Sus scrofa: one gene and its partners. The protein of the gene in region 2 interacts with the protein of the main gene of each other region in a biochemical or structural test. Links are inferred from orthologs where the notes say so. Each region holds a gene or a part of one and is shown on either strand. Other genes may lie near its edges. The genes, in order: VDAC1, BCL2L1, PMAIP1, SIVA1 and HRK.

Region 1 (4,106 bases), on a different chromosome or scaffold from region 2:
GTTGCTCATGGCAACACTGGATTCTTCACCCACTGAGCAAGGCCAAGGATCGAACCTGCATCCTCATGGATGTTAGTCAGATTCGTTAGCCACTGAGCCACAACGGGAACTCCCCGCCTTTCCTCCTGATAACCAACAAGTCTGATCTGTGTGTGGCCCCAGGGCCTGGAGCAAAAAAAGGCAGCCTCTGGAGCCACCTTGTAGTTAAGACCACATGCTCTCAGTGTCCCTAAGTAAGAAGGTGGGGAAAGGGCCATCAAGCCTAAGAAAGGGGGCTGGCCACAGGGACCCATTAGCCCCTGCTTCCCAGCGCCACCCCCTGGCCTTGGCTACTCACATTACCAGCAGCCTCAGTCCCAGGGAATGCAGCATTCCTGGACCAGAAATCCTGCAGCCTCCAAGCTGAGGCCAGCAGAACAATCACAGCACAGAATCTCACTATAAAACACAGCTAGGAATTCCCATCGTGGCGCAGTGGTTAACAAATCCGACTAGGAACCATGAGGTGAACTCAGTGGCTTAAGGATCCGGCGATGCCATGAGCTGTGGTCTAGGTCGCAGACACGGCTCGGATCCCACGTGGCTGTGGCCCTGGCGCAGGCCAGTGGCTACAGCTCCGATTCGACCCCTAGCCTGGGAACCTCTATATGCCACGGGTGTGGCCCTAGAAATGGCAAAGAAAAATAAAGAAATTAAATTAAATAAAAAAAGACACGGCTAGCTGTCCTTAGGGAGACGGTGGATGAGATTCTTACCCAGTGTTCGGTGAGAAGGATGAATCAAAGGTCAGCTTCAGTCCACGGGCAAGCTGAACAGAGAAGAAATTCGCCAGCAGGGTTAGTCACGAGACGGGCCGGCAGCCGCCCCTCAGTCACACCGCGTCTTTGGCGAGTTACCTGATCTTCCACGGTAATCTCCGTGCCCAGGGTGTTGTCGGTGTTCCACTTCTCTGTAAACGTCAGACCATATTCGGTCCATCTGTACTTGGTTTCCAGACTGCCCGTCACTTTGGTGGTCTCCGTGTTGGCTGAACCTGAGCTTGTAAATTCCTTTAAAAAAAAGAAAGAGGGTCACGGCCTGCATGCCAACGCTTCATTCTGCATCACGCCCCCCCTAAATGTTGGGAGCCCCGCAGCAAGTCCACGCCACCCCTACGTGGCCTCTGTTCTCCTTTAAGCAAGAGGTGACACCTTGCATGCGTGCAGGAAAAGCCTCACTCGATAATTCAATGAGATATTTCAAGTACAGATGGAGCCGGCTAATGAAAGGAATCTTACAGGGAATTCTTTTACTGGCCGTGCCCGAGGCATGCGAAAGTTCCCAGGCCAGGGACTGAACCGGTGCCACAGCAGTGGCCCGGAGCTGCTGCAGTGACAATGCCACATCCTTAACCTACTGCGCCACAAGGGAACTCCACTACAGAGAATTCTTTATCAGGACACGGCTTCCTTCCTCCCCTGTTAACGCTTCAGTCTGGACAGGAAGGCAATCCTTCCATCCCGCCTCCAGCCTAGAGAGAAAAAGCTTTTGAGCTAAAGCTGACGTGGCAGGAATTCAACCCGAAGTATCCTTCTTCGAACAATTACCACATGTACAATCTAAAAGAGACTAAGGTTTTTGTTTTAGGCATTCCCTTTGCGGCTCAGCAGTAATGAATCCGACTAGGAACCATAAGGTTGCAGGTTTGATCCCTGGCCTGGCTCAGTGGGTTAAGGATCCGGCGTTGCCGTGAGCTGTGGTGCAGGTTGCAGATGCCGCTCGGATCTGGCGTTGCTGTGGCTGTGGTGTAGGCCAGCAGCTACAACTCCAATTGGACCCCTAGCCTGGGAACTTCCATATGCCGTGGGTGTGGCCCTAAAAAAAAGCAAAAAAAGATTTTAAGTAATCACATGGTATGGAACAGAGGCTGATTCTGAAATAAGACGCATAAGGAAAAATAAAACTGAAGCCTGCCCCATATTCCTACTAGAATCCAGCTGAAGAAGTGGGGACCTGGTCACATGGTTCCCCTGGACCACAAATCCTACAAAGGATGCAATGCAAAGGACAGCTACAAGCTGCCACAATCAGAAGAGTCCCTTTGTTGGTCACCCCGAAGGAAGTTATTTTTTATATACTGATCTGCATAAATACCCATGCTCCGCGTGGGCCAGACAACTTACCAGTCCATTCTCAGATTTTGTTTTCAAATCAAGTTTTATTAGGCCAAATCCTAAAGAGAGGAGATGGTAGCTATTAGCAGGTTAAATAACTCACTCGAAAACAGCATCCCCGCCTCCCTCGGTCTGCTTTAACACGCTCTGAGTGTGAGGGCACCAGTCACCACTGCTGCGTGTGTTGGGGGGGGGCTGGTTGCCATGGAACCGTGGCCGACAGAACAGGCCCAGGCCCCACCTGCACGCCCAGCGGAGTCTGAGAAGAAGGTGCATGACCGCGTGGGCACATGTCTAAGGACAAGCTAAATTTAGAAGCTGCAATCCACTGCAGCGGCAGCCACAGACCTGCTCCCTGCCTGCGAGAGGAAACAAGAACGCCCGCTTGTTGGCAGCAATGTGCAAGCCCACCTGCACTGGGTGCACAACCACAACTGCTCGGCCAGCCGTAGAAGGCTTATCTTTTTTTCCCTGACATGAAAGGTCTGAGAGCGAGCTGACCCCAGTCTCTCAAACTCTGATGGGCAAAATCCCAAACATGCCACCCCCGCCTCCGAGCTGGAAGGCCACTCCGTGCGACACTCACCATAGCCCTTGGTGAAGACATCCCTGGCAGACTTGCCAAGATCGGCATACGTAGGAGGCACAGCCATCTTCTGCTGCCAGAAAAAAACCACCAAAATAAACACATTGGTAATTTCGGCTATGAGTTTCCACCAATAAAAATCATCAGCACTGAGTTCCCCCAGTGGCAGGCGGAGAGGCCTGTGCTGGCTGCTGCTTCTTTTTGTGACCAGAGCTTAAAATGCCCAATAAGTTTTATTGAGAGCAAACCAGCCTGACTTTTGGGGTTTGGGTTTTTGGTTTTTTTTTTTCTAGTTTTTTTGTTTGTTTGTTTGCTTTTTAGGGGCACACCGGCAGCATATGGAGGTTCCCAGGCTAGGGGTCTAATCGGAGCTGTAGCCCCCAGCCTACACCAGAGCCACAGCAATGCCAGATCTGAGCCACATCTGTGACCTACACCACAGCTCACGGCAACGCCGGATCCTTAACCCACTGAGTGAGGCCAGGGATCGAACCTGCATCCTCCTGGATGGTAGTCAGTTTCGTGAACCGCTGAGCCACAGCGGGAACGCCCAGCCTGACTTTGGACCTCTTCTCCTAGGCATCCCTGGGACTGAGCACAGGCCCAGAAGACGGGAGGAGTCAGGCAACATCAGCTAAATGAATTCACTGTCAAAGATGCATTCCCAGAAGGCAGCTACTTCACTCGACGGCAGGACTCTTGCCAATATAACGTATCTTCTTACAAAATATCGACTGCCAGGACATTAATACAACAAATAGAAATCAGAGCTTTTCAGAACAACTGATTTTCCCTAAGATTCGAATTTCATTCATTCAACAAATATTTATGGAGTCCCTACTGCGAGTCAGAATGGACCCAAATTACCCCAAAACTTGCATTTTACAGGAATCAACAGGGATATCATATTCTGCACTGAGAAAACAAACAAACAAAAAAAAAAACTGGAGTTCCTGTCCCAGCTTAGCAGTAACAAACCTGACCAGGATCCATGAGGACATGGGTTCGATCCCTGGCCTTGCTCAGTGGGTTAAGGATCTGGCGTTGCCGTGAGCCGTGGTGTGGGTCGCAGATACTGCTCGGATCCCACATTGCTGTGGCTGTGACGTAGGCCAGCAGCTGCAGCTCCAATTGGACCCCTAGCCTGGGCACTTCCATATGCCGTGGGTGTGGCCTTAAAAAGCAAAAAAAGAAAAAAACCAACAATAAAACCTAAGTAGGCAACTCTTCATAGGGAAGGAAATGCAACCACATCCCCCTCAAATTTGATTCAAACAAAAATTTATTGAATTCCATGATGACTTCATTTTTAAAACCAATTATCAAAGTACTACTTGGGATTATTGTATATCATTAAGCCAGTCAAC
Region 2 (4,242 bases):
TCCTCAGCCATCTAAGCCAGTGGGAACTCCCTGCCTGGTCATGCCAACTCTGAAACACAGGGGACTCCATCTGGGGGAGGGAAGCCCAGGACAGGATTGACATCCCAGGGGGAGTAAGACTGAAGGGACTGGTGGGTCACTGATACCGTCTCCTGCAGGTGTTACCCTTAGCGAGGGGAGCCATTACGTCAGGGTCAGGGAAACACCGGACTAACCCGCCACCCGCAAAGGTTTGGGGCCCAATGAACACACAGGCTATGTTTTCCTCTGCAGAGAAATTGGACACAAGTCTGAAAGGGTAGGGTCATGGGGATGACCAGAACGAAGCTGTCTGGTCCTTGCAGAACTAGGTCATCTGTATTTCAGGACAGTTAGCGTCTTGTGCTGCAGTGAGGCCAGTCACATCTCCTTAACAAACAACATCTCCAATAATCACACAGCGCGACAGAAAGAGGTACAGAGGAAAGGCTGTTGGGGATCTGACCTGAGACCAAGGAACAGGGACACCACAAGGGGCGTGGTCCTTACCCAGCCGCCGTTCTCCTGGATCCAAGGCTCTAGGTGGTCATTCAGGTAAGTGGCCATCCAAGTTGCGATCCGACTCACCAATACCTGCATCTCCTTGTCTACGCTCTCCACGCACAGTGCCCCACCGAAGGAGAAAAAGGCCACAATGCGACCCCAGTTCACCCCATCCCGGAAGAGTTCGTTCACTACCTGCTCAAAGCTCTGATACGCTGTCCCTGGGGTGATGTGGAGCTGGGACGTCAGGTCACTGAATGCCCTCCGGTACCTCAGTTCAAACTCATCGCCCGCCTCCCTCAGCGCTTGCTTCACTGCAGCCATGGGGATCACCTCCCGGGCATCCAAGCTGCTGCTGTGGCCAGTGGCTCCATTCACCGCGGGGCTGTCCGCCAGGTGCCAGGATGGGTTGCCATTGATGGCACTAGGGGTTTCCGCTTCTGATTCAGTCCCTTCTGGGGCCTCAGTTCTGTTCTCTTCCACATCAGTAAACTGACTCCAGCTGTATCCTTTCTGGGAAAGCTTGTAGGAGAGAAAGTCAACCACCAGCTCCCGGTTGCTCTGAGACATTTTTATAATAGGGATGGGCTCCACCAGTCCATTGTCCAAAACACCTGCTCACTCACTGAGTCTGGTCTCTGCTTAGTGGTTCTCTTCTGAGATCCAAAGCCAAGATAAGGTTCTGAAGGGAGAGAAAGAGCTTCAGAAAAAAAAAAAAAAAAAAATTAACATGCATGCCATTTACCCTGCAACATCCATTCCCCCTCCAGGTACCAGAATGGGGTCTTTTGTGGCTCTTAGGAAGGTCTGGGTCTGGCTTCCAAGGGACTTCAATAAAGTCAAATTGAAAGCACCAGTGGGCTCTGAATCATCACACCGGCCTTTAAGCCTCAGCCACCCCCTTTTCTCCGAAATGTCTTCCTCGGAAAGTCACCCCCATGGGCAGTCTGTCCCCCACCCCCCACCCCCGCACCACCTACATTCAAATCCGTCTCAGGCGACCGGCAGGCAGGTGCAGCCCCCGGAAGATCTTTTGTATCAGAGGTCGGGAGAGGAGGTGGCAGCCGGGATGCCGGTAACTCAGCCGGCCTCGCGGCGGCTGGCAAAAAAAGCAGCTCCGGCTGGAGGGATCATGCGACCCGGCAGACTGAGAGCCCAGAAGGCGATACAGGAATTACGAAGCTCAGGAACCGGCCCCCTCGCCTGCTTCCTCCTCCATCGCCCAGATCGAGGGCGGCCGCTTCAGCAGCCGCGGCCCGGGAGCCCAGCCCCCTTGCTCTTGCACGCCCCTTGGCTCTCCGCCTCCTACTGGGAGCCAGGAGAACTCTCCCGGAGGTGGCTGGTGTGAGATTTAGTTTTTGTTTTTCTTCTATTTAAGTACCAGCCCAGGGTGAGGTTTACTGAAACCCTAAAGGGACTTCTCAATGGGGCTCAAGGTTTCGATGAGGGACGGAGGGAGGGGGAAACTGCCTCGTATCTGCGGTCTGACTTCGGAAAGGCCATCCCCGGGCCTTTCAGGGAGGCGGAAAGCCGGGGACCCCCCAGAAACGCTGCTGGCTTTCTCTGAATTCCCCAAAGGCCCTGGTCGTGGCGGTGGGGGGCTGCCGGGTCCTCCATTCCCCGCACGGACACAATGGCCGCCGGCGCCCGGCACAAAGACTGGGCGAGGGTGAGGCGCCGGGCCTCTCCTCGGGTCAGGGAGAATGGGCGAGGCCTCCTCGAGGCCCCCCCACAGCTGAAACCACGTTCTCCTGTGGACAGGCCCAGGGTGGCTTCCTCGCGCCCTGGCGAGGGTTTAGAGGCAGGGGTCTGCACCTCTCCCGAGCCCAGGGTGGGTGGGCTGCGGACTCGCGGCTCCCTCCGCGCGCTAGGCCGGGTACCCGCCCGGCCACCGCCCCGTTGCTAGGCAACCGCTCTCCCTCTGGGGCGCCCCCTAGACCTTTCTGGGAGGAGGGGTCTCGCCCCCGGCGGCCCGCCCCAGCGCGGCCAATCAGCGAGCCCAGGTGGCACGGAAGCAGGACGGCGAGGGCTCCCATTGGGCGCAGCGCCTGCCACGCACAGGGGAGGCGGCGCTCTCACCTGCGAGCCCCGCGAGCCATGGGGGGCCACATCCCCCATTCATCGGCCAGGTAGTTTCCAGACGCGACCGCTCTTCGCGGCAGAGTTCTGCGCCGCGGACCTGGGCCGGCCTACCTGGCTGGTGGCTCGCGCTGTCTCTTCCGAACGAGCCGGCCTCAGTTTCCCCTGAAGAGACCGGGGGAACTTGCAACCTCAGTCACTTCCGGTGCCGCGGCAGCGCGCGCGAGCCCGAGACGCAAGGGGAGTGCGCGCCTTTAAGTACTGGCGTCAAGACCTTGGCGAGAGCGCCCCCTTGCGGTAGAGCTGGGGAATCCGGAGACAAAAAAGGATAAACGTTTACATTCACGTTTCCATTCATTCATTCATTTAGCCAGTTTCATCCACTGGTTAGTTTATATGTCGAAAAAGCATCGCGTCGTGGCAAGAATCTTGTGTCTGGGATTCCAACCTTGCTAACTGGGAAAGTTACTCAACCGCTGTGTCTCGATTATCCTTAACCGTACGTAATGTGAGTAAAAACCAATCTCCCTCATTGAGTTACTGTGATTGATTTGAGTTGTTCTTTGTGAAGTCTATGGTACATGCTGCATAATTTCATTTAGCAAATGTTTATTGTTTGGGTTGCTGAAAATGGAGTTAGGAACAAGACACGGCCCATGTTTTCATAGAGGCTTAAACCCTTGAGATGGAGAGAGTAAACAACTAAGAAAACAAACAAGGTAATTTCAGATAGTGACTAGTGCTCTGAACAAAGCAAATCAGGGTATTGTCGTAAAGAGGGTGAAGAAAGAGGTGCTCCTTTAGAGTGGGTGGTCAGGGATGTAAGCCTCGCCCTCCCTGCCCAGTGAGGAAGAGGGACATTTTTTTCTTTTTTTTTTTTTTTAGAGCCGCACCTGCAGCATATGGAAGTTCCCTGGCTAGGGGTCGAATCAGAGCTGCAGCTGCTGGCCTACGCCACAGCCACAGCAATGCTGGATCCTTATCCCCCTGAGTGAGACCAGGGATCCAACTCCCATTCCCACAGATACTAGTCAGGTTCTTAAGCCACTCAGCCACAGTGGGAACTCCAAGAGAGTCATTTTTTTCAAGTGTTCTTTCAATTGTTTGTGTAGGGTGCCAGGGATGGCCTCTTCAAAGGGATAACTTAGAACCGAAGATCTGAAGTGTAAGGAAATGCCACCCGTCGGAAGAGTTTAGAGAACATCAGCCTAGGCAGAGGATATAGCTTGCGCAAAGTGTCCTGAGGCAGGAAGATCTTGGGATGTTTTAGAAGCTGAAGGAGAAGCAGTGTGACCAAAGGAGGGCAAATGTGTTATGAGAGGTCATTGGTTGGAAAGTTGACCATGGAAGTGAATTAATCAATTAATTTTGTGGTAATTTAATTGATTAAAAATAGGATATTGGAGGAGTTCCCACTGTGGCTCAGCGGGTTAAGCGTCCATGAGGATTTGGGTTCAGTCAATGGGTGAAGGATCCGGCATTGCCAGAGCTGCAGTGTAGGTCGCAGATGTAGCTCAGATCTGGCATTACTGCGGCTGTAACATAGGCTGGCAGCTGCAGTGCTGATTCGACCTTGAGCCTGGGAACTTCCATATGCTGCAGCTGAGTCCCTAAAAAGAAAAAATAATAATAAAAATAAAA
Region 3 (4,238 bases), on a different chromosome or scaffold from region 2:
AGGATCTGAAAAAGAAAACATCAAAGTTATCCTGACAACATTGCAAACGGCAACCAGCAAGAGTTAAAACGTTCATCCCAGAGACAAGTTGAGTGTTTATCCCAGCGTTTACCTTTTAAGCACACTTGTTTTCTAAAATGTGAGAAAGGCTACTTGCTGCCCCTCTCAAACACACACACGTGACATACACCAATACACGGTGATTCATAAACAACCAAAAGTTAAAGAATAAAGACATTTATTTTGCAATCCTGGATGAGGCAAATGTTATCTTACTTTCAAATATAGACATTTATGTCACACACCACAAACAGCAAGCCTTTGCCAACCCAACTGATGTCATCCTTTTCTTTCTCATTTAAAATTGGTTAGAGACAAGTCAAATTCTAAATTCTTCTATGTTGTTTTTGAGTATAATTTATTTTGTAAATGGCAACCAATAATTCATAGCTCAAATTATGCCCTCATACTAGGCAAATCTAAATGTATTCTTAGCCTCATGAAATTTTCTCTTGAAGGATTCATAAAATCTTATTCCAAAATGAAGTCCACATTTTCTAAAATAATTATAAGTTTACACATGAGTCTAAGCCAAAGTCTCCCCAAACTGTACCAATCCATTGCCTTTATGGAGATAAGTGAAGCACAAAATAAGTAATATTTAATTCATATACTTACTACTTTTTAAGATATTGTATGGGGGGGAATCTTTATAATCTAATTTCCAAGTGAACTTTTTAAGTAGATGGAATTAACACCAAATCTATACTGGTCATAATTTCAATTTTCTTGGATATTTCCAAGAACAATTCCGCTTCTTTTTGGTTCAATTCAACATCATGATTATAAACACTAAAAATTATGACTGTAAGTTAAAATCTGATTTATTTTATAAGCAGACCCTGCAGATAGCCTATTTAGGCTCAGATAAACAAAAACTGTAAATATATATTAAAGTGGATTTTTAAACCTACATTTCAACCAATTTATCTTTTCCTAAGAGCTGAGTTAAATTTTCATAATTCCTAAAAAAAAAAACTTTATATAATCTCTGAGACCTAATAAATCTCTTGTAAGCTATCTTTCTTTATAGGCTACGGCGTCAAGCATTTGGAGAAGTATCTACAAAGACATGTTTTTTTCAGTGAGTGGAATATATTAACATGCTATCCTAAAAAACAAAAACAGAAACAAATTATCACTTAGCATACAATTTTGGAAGCCCTGAATTGTAAGAGGAAAAACTATCCCTTTCATTAAAAAGGGCAGATAATAGCACCTAGTTCTTTCCTTTTTGTTTTTTACATCTATAAATGTATTAATTTTTTGTTACATCTATAAATGTATTAATAAAAAATGTAACTGTGTGGTGATCGATGTTAACTAAACTTACTGTGGTAATCATGTCATAGTACACACATATATCAAATCATGGTGTACATCTAAAACTAATACAATGTTACATGTCACTTATACCTTAATTTTGGTTTTGTTTGTTTTTTTGTTGTTTTTACTGTATTACTGTCTAACCAAGTTTAAGAGGGACCTTTCTGCTGTCTCTTATTAATAGGGAGTAAGTCGGCTCTTGAAGATGATGGGAAATTTTTTGAAACATGGCCAGATTTCTGGGCCAGCACAAAAGACGGGCAAAGTTTCTTCCCTCCCAAGCAAGAGTCAAGAGAGCAGCCTGGTGCCAGCTTTGCCATGACCACACGGGCAATGCACCACTTCCTTTGAGCGGTCCATGGGCTCTAAAAAGTTAAACTAAGTATAAAACGGCCTATTACCATCTGATGTAACAGCAGTATGACCCACACAGATTTCCAGCTCAGAGACTTATTTGCCTTCTTTGCAACTGCTCCTTAGGAGCAGATGGCTGCTCCATTTGATAAGATTTATAAGGAAACCGACCTTAAATTATTTGATGAGGTACACGGATGGGGAAGGGCAGAGGAACGGGTGGATTGAAAAACATTGCGGACCAACTCCTGTTCTCCTACCCCATTTCTGCAGCTAATATCGATTGTTAAAATGTTACACTTCTAACAAAGAAGAAAAACTTTCTATTATCCTGATTTCACCAGTCCTTGTGGGACCTCCAACCCCTCCGTCAGTTTTTTGTGGAAGGCCTGTGATAGTATCAAGCATTATTACTGCCTGGGGTAGGGGGGTAAGGCTCAAAAGATCCAGAATACGGGAGGGAGAGGGCCTCCCTCAGAAAACGCTGGGAGGCCAGGAAGCTCCTGGAGCCTCTCTCGGCCCCACCCGCCATGGCAATGACTTTCTCCGCGTGGCTGGCGCCCGTACTTGCTCTTTTTCTTCCCATGGCCCAGGGGCAGAACAAGTGGGGATGGGAAAGCTGATCTCAGCATCCTCTGAAATGCTGCTGCATCCCAACCCTAAGCCGGACTCCCTCCCTGGTCATATCCACGGTCCGCGGTTAAACCCCTAAAGAACTTCCTGCCGGCGCCCCTAAAACATGTGCAAGGGCACAGCGCCGGCCTGACCTTGAGGCCCGGCGCACATGGGGTGACTCCGCCCGGACCGAGACCTCGACCCCAGCCTCCGCCCCGGGTCAGGATCTCCGCGGGCCCCAGCTGCTCTCTACCTGGCGGGAGGGCCACCCGCGTAGGGTTCGTCTGAGTGTTCCTACGAGACCTCCTTCCAGGCATCTCCGCAAACAGCAGCCGGAACTTTGCCGCAAAACTCCGAGAACTCAGTCCCCGGACCCGAGCACCTTGGCTCTGCAGGTAGCAGGCTGCGCGCGGGGCGGTCGGGCAGAAGCGAGCAAGCGGGAGAGAGCTAGAAAAGCAACACCCTGAACGCCCAAAAGCCTCTGAGGTTGGCGCTCCCGCCGCTGCCCGCGCTCCGACCTAATGGGGACTTCCCAGTGACGTAGAGAAACTTGACGCCGGGCCCGCCCCTGTCCCCGCCCCCTCGGACCAGCGCGCAAAGGGGCGGGGGGAGCGAGTAACTGGCCCAGCGCAGCGCGCGGTGCAGCGCGACCCGCCGGGACCCGCTGGCGACCTGCGGCGGCGCCGATCCGCGGCGGGGGGCGCCGGGAGCTTGGCGGGAGAGGCAAGGCCCAGCCTGGAAATTACTTCCTTGACAAACGAGTCAGCTGCAGACTTGTCGGGGTGTAGGAGTCGCGAGCGGAGAAAGGTTCTCCTAGCAGAAGGTTGGGGATGGGGAATCCTGGAGCTTCGTCCTTATCAGAAATGGGCAATTAGCGACGTCTGTAAACAAACCCCGAAAAGAGTTTAGAAGAGGACAGTTTTCAAACTCCGAGAACTTAGGAAGTTTCTGGGACGTGAAATGAAGAAAACTTTAATAACCATAGAGATGGTACCAGAAGCCAAGTGAGAAAAGTACCAGATTGAAACTGAAACTATTGGGAAATTGTTGCAAATTGAAAACTCGGAGCACGCGAGCAAACACTTTAGATTTGGGAGGGGGAGGGAATGTGAATGAGGGAGGGGGCTAACTAATTCACGGCTGGGTTGAAAAAGTAGAGCGTTTATTCCCCATGGGTCTCCTGACCATTGTAGATGTTTAGTAACACAAAAAAAGAGTAGGTCATCGTGTAGAAAACTTTCAATGCTTTGGTGGAGGAAAGAATGAGGAATCTGGGAATAGGAAGTTATTTGCACGATGTTTGGCTGGCACTTGAATACTTTTGTTTTTGTAAAAAGGAGGAGTCATTTGGAATGGTCATAGGTATTGAGGACCCCTTCATGCTAAGGGATTCCGCAGGCATTTCCTATTCTGTCCTCAGAACTACCCTACCAAGCTGGCATTCTTAGCATCGTGTGGCCACTTTAGATCGTGTGGTTCAAAAGCTGAAATTTGCAGAGATCGAGTTGCCTCAGCTCACACAGGCAGAGATCAGTGGCAGAATCTGAACCCTGGCAGGCCCATACCGAGCAAGCCCTCTTACCCACTGCCGCCTTACCAGGAATCAGTGTTTTAGAAAAAGAGTGTTCTTTTATTATCTGCCCTGAATAATGCAGAGGCTGTAAATTGGTTGCTTAGAGCTCCATGACTTTCTAGAAGTGCTTGGTTTGGTTCTCCGTATTGGTCTACCAGATGTCTTGTGAAAATTCGAATTGGTTTTCCAACATTTAAAAATGGAGAGATTACATTAAAAGTCCAGATTTCTGGCTTCCTTTAGGAAATCATTAGTTCCTGACAACGCAGGATCCGTTTTCCTAAAGAGCAGAGCGGGCTGGAGGCTGCCA
Region 4 (4,010 bases), on a different chromosome or scaffold from region 2:
ACATCTTCATGGATACTAGTCAGGTTCTTAGCCCACTGAGCCAGGAGGGGATCTCCACCAAAGTTCTCTTTTAATCACAATGTTTTGCATTTATTTATTGTATCTTAAAAGAGCTTTAAGGCACTTTCAAATCTAAAGGTGAAATTTTTTAAACATTGTGGTGATCATTATACGACTACAGATGTGATAAATTCATTGAGTAGTAAAAAAAAAATAAAAAATAAATAAATAAAATTCCCAAGACATGTAAGATTAAAAACAACACTCCGGGGTTTCATCTATTTCCCGTATACAACAAGCCAAGCGTCTGTTCGGGTACAACTGACTGTAGAATCCTTACGAGAGCAGTGCACAGGCTGGCCGGCGACGCAGCAAGGAAGACAGGTCTCCAGCCCCCCTCCGTCAGCTGGTCTCCCTGGACCCAGGCAGAGGCAGCGAGGACCACGTGATCAGAGACTGGTCCCGCCCCATTCCCCGCGGGGATGGTTCCAGGCTGTGACGTAGAGTCACGTGGGACTCGGCCTGTAAGGCTCGGCCACGTCACCGGAAATCCAGGCCACAGGGGAGCTGGCCGGTCGAAGGCTGAGTGGGTGGCTGGCCCGCCGAGGCGGAGCTGGGCTCGGGTCGTGGCCAGGCTGGAGCCCGATGACTCGGCTGTATAAAGGCACCTTCGTGCGGCGGAGGGCACCTGCCTGCCCCGCAGGGGGAAGTAGGGCCCGCGAGGCGGCCCCTGAAGTGTGCCCGGGGCGTTAAGGCCTCACTCTGCACTTCTTGAGGGCGGGGAATTCCTCCAAACTGAAGAAAAGTGGCTCATCCTCGAACTTTGAGTGATTTATGCGAGGACGTATAAGAGCTTCCGGAGCTGTTTGGGAGCAACAACAAAGAAAACCCAGCACGCCCGCCCTTACGTGCCGCCTCATACGAGTCCCACCCCCATCTCGCCTCCGACCTATTGCAGGCTGCGCCTAACGCGAGTCCCGCCCCCGGCGCGCCCACTGCGACCCTTGACCTCTGCTGGACTTTCCCGCGCCGCCGAGTCCCGCCTCCCGGCGCACGAGCCCCGCCCCGCCCTCGCTCCGGCCTATCCCGCGTCGCGCCGCGCACGAGCCCCGCCCCGCCCTCGCTCCCTGCCTATCCCGCGTCGCGCCGTGCAGGAGCCCCGCCCCCGCCCCTCGCGGGGGTTGGCGCGCGGCCGTGACGTCGCTGGCGGGCCAGGCGCGGCCGCCGAGCCGAGCCGCTCCGGGCCCGCGGCCATGCCCAAGCGGGGCTGCCCCTTCGCGGACGCGGCCCCGCTACAGCTCAAGGTTCGTGTGGGCCAGAGGGAGCTGAGTCGCGGCGTGTGCGCCGAGCGCCTCACTCGGGAGATTTTCGGTGAGTGCCGGGTTGAGGGGTTTCTCGCTGCGAAGCGGGGCCGGGGCAGGCGGGCCCCGCGGGCCGCGCCCCCTGGAGCCGGGGGTCCGGAGCTAGCTGTCCGACTGGGGTTTGGGAGCAATGAGTAGGGCGTCCTGAGTAAGCCCTTGTACGCTACCTCCTGTCCCCTGCCACCCCCACCTCTCTGAACCGCGTGGTGTCGAGTCGGGGCTGTGTCTTGTGGGGATGCCGGACTCGCGCGGTAACCAGCCCTGGTCCGACCAGCACTGAGATCCCTCAGGCGCACTTGGAGGCCGGGGAGGGGGATGTCCTGGTGGAACAAGTCCGCAGCAGTACCCATTCTAACCCCAGACGTATTTCTGGAGCGCGCCTTCTCTGCCAGGCGCTGCAGCTGCGCAGGAGACCCTGCCTCCCAGTCTAGTGGGGGGACCTGCCAGAGAAGGACGTGCCAGAGGTCATCAGGGCAGCGACGGGGTGCTGCAGGACCACCTGCAGGCTGTCAGTGGTCTCATGGAGAAAGAGAGTCCTGCAGAGATAGGCAGGCAGAGAGGGAGAGGAAGGGAATTGCAGGCAGAGGGAACAGCCTACGCGAAAACCAGGAAGCAGCAGAGTGCAGCAGGGCTCAGGGTAGCTGGACTGTCCAGGTCAGACCTGTGAGGGCAGCGAGCTCGGAGGCCTTCTCGTCTGACTGGGTCATGCCGATTTTTAGGTGCACGGGTGCTGTTGATCACCCCTCTGGGGTGGTTCATCCACCGTGGAGTTTGCTTTATCTGGTGGTTGAGGGCCCGAGGTTTGTGGCCGGAGTGTTTGTAATTGAGCGATGCTGCTGTGCTTTAGGGGTGTGGGGAAGAGCCTAGCCGGGGGAGACCCTGCTTCTCTCTCTCCTGCTCCCCCAGCCCAGCCCACCGCCCCCCTCAGCAGCTGCTCTGCCTTTTTTCCTTGCACACTGGGGTTGCAAATGCAAATCCTTTCCGAGGCCACGCAGGCAATAGAAATGAGTGAAGCTGTGGGTGCTCAACCGTTATTCCCGCCCTGGACAGTCAAAAAACGTAAACACTGCAGGCGGAAGAATTAAAAGTTGATAGGGATTAAGTCAGGCTGGTTTTTGACCTTCCTTGACCACAGTGTCAAGGTTTGCAGGGGCTTGTCCCTCACAGGCCCGTGGGGGGGGGGGGGGTTGCTGGGCTTCCCGGACATTTCCCGAGGGCAGGACCTAAGGTGGCCTGTGTGAACTCAGGGGTAGTGAATGCCAAGCCTGACCGTGGCCTCTTTATCTTGATGGACCACAGGCCTTGGAGGGGGGGGGCTGGTTTCCCCTCAATCCTCCCATCCTGCTCCAAGGGGGAGGGTGCTGGGGCTGTCACCAGCCACTCAAGCTCTGTCACCCAGCAGCTCGTTTCTGTCAGTCACAGAGCGCTGCCAGCTTCTAAGCGCGCCTCCCTGGCTCTGTTGGGATACGGCAGAGAACCACAGACAATGCATTTCTGGGGCTGGCGCCTGGCATTTGACCCTGCGAAAGCCCCCAGCCCTGATGGAAAGCCACTGCTCTAGGTGCTGAGACACCACCTCAGCTCCGAGGGTGGGACTGTCTGTCCAGGACCCACAGAGGTCTCGAGAATTCTGGAGTACTTGTCAGGAGCCCGTTGCTGCCATGTCTTTGGCCCGCAGCTCCAAGGTCGGGGAAGGGGTGTGTACCAGCCGGGGCTGGGTGCTGCACAGGAACGAAGCTGGCTGCTGGGTGCGAAGGCCGAAAGGGACAGCAAGCATGTGAGGCCACCGTGTGGAAAACGAGCAGAGTGACAGGAGAGGAGCCCGGAGGGGCTTGCGGAGTCCAGAGCCTTCCTGGAGGAGGTGGCCGCTGAGCCCAGGCAGGAGGGGAAGGTGGGACCCAGCTCGCCAGGGCACAGCGTTGTCCTGGTGGCTGGATGACAGCTCCGAGGCCTGGCTGGGCGCAGCCCACAGGACAAGGAGGCTGTGCGGGGTGGAAACGGAGGAGTGACTCCTCTTCCCCAGAGAAGACCACCCAGCTCCTCTTCCGAGGGGCCCAGGCCTACATGGACCACGCGTGGGAGGAGGGCTGTGCCACCGTTGACCTGCCGGAATCCCCGAAGCCCGGCCCCACGGAAGCCCCTCGGGCCTCGCGGGGGCAGATGCTCATCGGGCCCGACGGCCGACTGACCAGGAGCCGAGCCCAGGCCTCTGAAGCTGGTGAGTGGGGCCCTGCAGGTGCGCTTGGGACATGGCAAGGGCGTTCCCTTTATTCTCAGTGTGTTTCCTACCTGGGCCGGCGGGCACTGGGTCCCGTCTAGGTGGGGAGAGGCTATTTGGGTCCCTGCGCAGCGTGGTGTGCATCCCAGACTGTCACCTGGGTTGCTGGTTAGAAACTCCCTCACCCCCAGTCTGGGTGGTGCAGGAACCTCTGTGCTCCCCCGAGCCGCAGAAGGGACACTGGCACCAGCCGTCGGGAGCCGTGGGGCGGGGGTCCGGGCACCGGGCGCCCTCCCTGGTGAAACCGGCTGTGTGCTGTGCTCACGCACCGGTTGTCCGGAGCACCTCATGGTAGGTCAGGTGCGGGAGGAGGGTCGCCTCGTTCTCAGGTGGGGAGTTGGGGGCCCCCAGCACTCTGGGTCCCTTTGGGC
Region 5 (3,675 bases), on a different chromosome or scaffold from region 2:
CCTCGCTAGCCGCGTAGGTCCTCCCCGCGCCCGAGCGCAGACGGACGCGCTCCGTCCTTCCCGCGCGCCCCCGCGGAGGTCTCGGGCCACCTCCCATCTCCCCGGCGGCGGCCTCCTCCTGAGGACCCTGGAGCGCCCCTAGCCCCAACGCGCACACTTGGGCTGTGGCTGGGCACTCTCCAGTCCATGGGTAGGACGCCCAGCCTCCCGCACCGTCTGGTCCTGAGAAGGGAGCGCTTCCCCCACCTAGCCTGGGCCCCAAGACTGGAGGAAATGGTGTCCTAGCCCTTCTCCCCGTTTGTACTGGATTCCTCACGCTTCCCATTTTTCTAATCCCCGTTCCCACTATCTTGTCTTGCAAGAAGCCTCTTTCTCCAGCTCCCGCCACTTTCTTTCCTCGTCTAACCACCCGTTCTTTCTATCCCTCCTCTCCCACCTTCTTTCCGCTTTTCCCTAAATTACACACTTTGGGCGTCGCGTCTTGCTTGACTACCTCTTTCGGCCCTCCCTCCCCCGCTCCGTCCCATCCAAAATGTTTCTGTCCCTAGGATCCGGGGCAGACCTAACTTGGTCCACTGAGGCGGAGGGCAGCCCCGGGCCTCTCTTCAGGGAGGAGGAGAAGCGCATGGGATCTCTGGGAGCCGGGCAAAGAGCGCCCTGAAGCGCACACCTCTCTCAGGCAGCGCCAGGGCTGCGCCGGCCCACGCGACATCTGTCGCCCGCGCTCCCGGCTCACACCCCGCGCACCCCCGCAGCTTCCCGGGCGCTGCCACCCCCCACGCTCCGGCTGCCGCCTCTCCCTGCGGGCGCCGCGCCAGCTTCCTATGGTGTTGGCTCACGGTGGGACTCGGCCGAGACCCGAGCGCTTGGCATCTGTGAGCCATGGCATCCCGGGGCTGGGTTTCTCACCTTCGACCTTCAGCTTCCGGCCCTGGACCCACCTTTGGTGGGCTCAGCCCTGTTCTCTCCACCCCCATTCTCTTCAGCTCTTTGAGAATCTGAAGACAATGCTTACACGTTTGCCCCCTTTAAGCGCCCTAGCACAGTGTCAGGCGCACAGCTGGTGCTCAGTAATTCCCCAAGGCCTAGGGGCCTAGTATACAGTAGGTGCTTAGTACTTTTTTCCCACTGGTACCAAACGGCTAGGCGCGCAATACTCACTCCCCACCCCCACAACCTATCCTACTGCAGGCTCTTAACAGGGCCTCGAACCCAAAGTGAGCACAGTTAATGCTCTTTCTTAAAGGCTTCCCCCTGGAGTTTCCCGAAAAGTCTGAGATCCCACATCACTTAGGGGGCATCTCCTTCATCTCAGCTCCCTCTATCCCGCGAAGAGGAGGGCAAGCTCCTTAAAAGGGACACCTCGCTGGAGAAGGAGTGAAGTTGGCAGAGCGGAGGAAAACTGCAAAGTTTTAGGGAGAAAGACGGAGGGGGAGGAAGTCACGAGATGCGCTTGGGGCGCGGGAGGACGAGCAACAGAAACTGGAGAAGTGATACTTAGGGAGAAGGAGGTTTGGGGCGGAGGTGATGGAGAGGGTGGCGAGTTAGGAACGGCAGGCGGCTTGGAAGAGGACCGAGGACTCGTCTTGAAACCGCGATAGTTTATAATGCGTTGGCGTGGCCTGTAACTCTGTTCTCATAGCAAGCACACTTTTAATTTGCATTGTGTGTTTGTTTGAAGGGGTGATGAGGCTTACGGAGGCTGAAGTCCTTCCAAAGCCACTCGGATGGAGGGAGTGGCAAGATGCTCTTAAGGAGTCGGAGAGAAGGGGCAGCAGCGGTGGACTCGGTAGGTACTTGGAAGGAGAGATGGGATCTCCCAAGGAGAGGGACAGAGATCCTTGCGAAAGAATGGAGCAGAGGAAGAGGAGATGGGAAGGGAAGAGAGCTAAACTTGCGGTTCTCCAGCTCCCAACCCAGCCCCAGGTCTCCAATCCCCCAGCTGCCGCGCCCTGGCGGTCGCTTGCTCACGTACCTGTTGCTCGCTCCGGCTGGGTCTCGGCTCCGGCCCCACCATGAAGCCCCGCGTTCCTACAAGTTCCGCCTGCCGAGCAGCCAGGCTGCCAGCGCCGCCACCTGCGCGGCCGCGCACAGCCAGGGCCAGTAGGTGGGGAGCGCGCCGGGCGCCGGCGCCCTCCGGCTCCGCGCGCTGCGCCGCCACATGGTGCGCTGGTGCAGCTCGTCGCCGAGCGCCTTGAGCCGGGCGGCAGTGAGCTGCGCGGCGGAGGAGCGCAGACCCAGGCGGCTCGCGCTGCAAGCGCACACGGCTGGGGGGCCGCGGCCGCGGTGCAGGGGGCACGGACACATGACCGCTCGCCTCGGTCCCTCCCCGCGTCGGGCCGCCCCTCGCCTCCTCTCGCTTCGGCCTCTGCGCCTGCCTCCGCCGCGCTCCAGCCGCCGGGGGCCTACCCTGGACACCAAGTTTCTCCTTGTGTTGTGCGTTTGTTGTGCTGACGGCGCTATTATTAATTAAAGTGTCACATGGTGGAGGGGGGCGGGGAGGGCGCGGGGAGGGGGGTTACATCATCCGGCCCCCCGGGGGTGGGGGGGCTGCAGGCAGAAGAAACCGAGAGGTAACTTTTAACCCTAGCGGCGCCGGCCGCGAGGGGGTTTTCGGGTTGGGAAGCGAGGAGCGCGGGGCTCTGGGACGCGGGAAAGCACCCGGCTGCGGGGCTCTCGGGCTTGGGGGTCGCGGGAGACCCCCGCGGAGGCGGGGAGCGCCAGGGAAGATTTTCTCTCCGTTTTTTCTGAATTCAGCTTCAATTCCGATTTGGCGAGAGGAGTAGGCTTGTTTGCCGTTTTGGATGAAGCTGATATCGAATTCAGCTGCATTATTCAAAAAATGTTCCGAGGCTATTGTTTTGTTTGGGGCGGTAGGTCGATTCAAAATCTCATGAGAGGGCCAGATTCAACCCAATTTGCTTACTTTCAGGTCTGACTCCGCACCTGTAGGTTGCGGATCAGCCGATACACACCCGACTCCCCATCTAAGTTAGGGTGGATGAGAGACTCTAAAGAGCCCCTAGCTCCCCTAGAAACGTTGATGGACGCAGGGGTGAGGAGGGTTAGGGAGTCGGCCCTTAGCCTCAGCGATTCGCAAGCACACCGCGCTTCAATCCCAAAGACCCTCGCAAGGGGTTTTCCAGAAGGAACTTTGTTTTGTTTGCTCCCTTTGTGAATTTTATTTGCCTGTTGGGGTTAATGATCCGGATTTAATGCTCAGTGGAGACTCTTAAGGGATTGGTGGGGTCGAGGATGCGGGGTGCAGGGGACTTCAGCCCCTTTCTCTCCAATCGTAGAATGGTTTTATACTGTCCCCATGCTCCTCCAGACTAGAAAACGTGAAGTTGTCTCTGCTGGTGAAGGAATAGAAGGGCGAGGGGCTCTTAGGATTCTTTGGGGAGCAAGTGAGACTTTCACCTGTCTTCAAAGCACTGGGATTCAGAAAATTGGAGGATCTCAGAGGTGGCTCCAAGCCAGCCTCCTAGGTCCTGATAAGGCAGCTCTGAGCCTCTTCTTCCCACCAGCAGAGTGCTGCCACTTGGAAAAGATTCTTCAAGAGTGTGAATTTAGAATGGGTCTGACTTTATCATGGAGAGATTTCTGCTTGGCCTGCAACTTGGTCAGAGCTCAGATCCCAGCCCTGCCCTGTGATCCTGGTGGCTCTTAGACCCA

The links.
Region 1: the proteins of BCL2L1 (region 2) and VDAC1 form a complex in vitro, tested with the Homo sapiens proteins (4 studies listed by BioGRID). The link is inferred for Sus scrofa from reciprocal best matches to the Homo sapiens genes BCL2L1 and VDAC1.
Region 3: the proteins of BCL2L1 (region 2) and PMAIP1 interact in a biophysical measurement, tested with the Homo sapiens proteins (3 studies listed by BioGRID and IntAct, with this or other methods). The link is inferred for Sus scrofa from reciprocal best matches to the Homo sapiens genes BCL2L1 and PMAIP1.
Region 4: the proteins of BCL2L1 (region 2) and SIVA1 form a complex in vitro, tested with the Homo sapiens proteins (2 studies listed by BioGRID and IntAct). The link is inferred for Sus scrofa from reciprocal best matches to the Homo sapiens genes BCL2L1 and SIVA1.
Region 5: the proteins of BCL2L1 (region 2) and HRK interact in a biophysical measurement, tested with the Homo sapiens proteins (3 studies listed by BioGRID and IntAct, with this or other methods). The link is inferred for Sus scrofa from reciprocal best matches to the Homo sapiens genes BCL2L1 and HRK.

The regions. Positions count from the first base shown.
Region 1 is NC_010444.4:136,317,803-136,321,908, forward strand, and holds the start of VDAC1 (voltage-dependent anion-selective channel protein 1), read right to left. Parts: upstream 2,807-4,106; coding exon 2,740-2,806; intron 2,213-2,739; coding exon 2,163-2,212; intron 1,050-2,162; coding exon 897-1,049; intron 809-896; coding exon 756-808; intron 1-755. UniProt on the Homo sapiens protein: Non-selective voltage-gated ion channel that mediates the transport of anions and cations through the mitochondrion outer membrane and plasma membrane.
Region 2 is NC_010459.5:35,412,949-35,417,190, forward strand, and holds the start of BCL2L1 (bcl-2-like protein 1), read right to left. Parts: upstream 2,849-4,242; 5' UTR 2,716-2,848; exon of another isoform or gene 2,602-2,715; intron 2,484-2,601; exon of another isoform or gene 1,503-2,483; intron 1,425-1,502; exon of another isoform or gene 1,297-1,424; intron 1,223-1,296; 5' UTR 1,093-1,222; coding exon 529-1,092; intron 1-528. UniProt on the Homo sapiens protein: Potent inhibitor of cell death. Inhibits activation of caspases. Appears to regulate cell death by blocking the voltage-dependent anion channel (VDAC) by binding to it and preventing the release of the caspase activator, CYC1, from the mitochondrial membrane.
Region 3 is NC_010443.5:161,185,290-161,189,527, forward strand, and holds the start of PMAIP1 (phorbol-12-myristate-13-acetate-induced protein 1), read right to left. Parts: upstream 2,850-4,238; 5' UTR 2,673-2,849; coding exon 2,609-2,672; intron 6-2,608; coding exon 1-5. UniProt on the Homo sapiens protein: Promotes activation of caspases and apoptosis. Promotes mitochondrial membrane changes and efflux of apoptogenic proteins from the mitochondria. Contributes to p53/TP53-dependent apoptosis after radiation exposure. Promotes proteasomal degradation of MCL1.
Region 4 is NW_018084979.1:3,028,598-3,032,607, forward strand, and holds the start of SIVA1 (apoptosis regulatory protein Siva), read left to right. Parts: upstream 1-1,184; 5' UTR 1,185-1,253; coding exon 1,254-1,371; intron 1,372-3,384; coding exon 3,385-3,579; intron 3,580-4,010. UniProt on the Homo sapiens protein: Induces CD27-mediated apoptosis. Inhibits BCL2L1 isoform Bcl-x(L) anti-apoptotic activity. Inhibits activation of NF-kappa-B and promotes T-cell receptor-mediated apoptosis.
Region 5 is NC_010456.5:35,611,707-35,615,381, reverse strand, and holds the start of HRK (activator of apoptosis harakiri), read right to left. Parts: upstream 2,463-3,675; 5' UTR 2,308-2,462; coding exon 2,032-2,307; 3' UTR 1,976-2,031; intron 1,790-1,975; coding exon of another isoform or gene 1,745-1,789; exon of another isoform or gene 1,657-1,744; intron 1-1,656. UniProt on the Homo sapiens protein: Promotes apoptosis.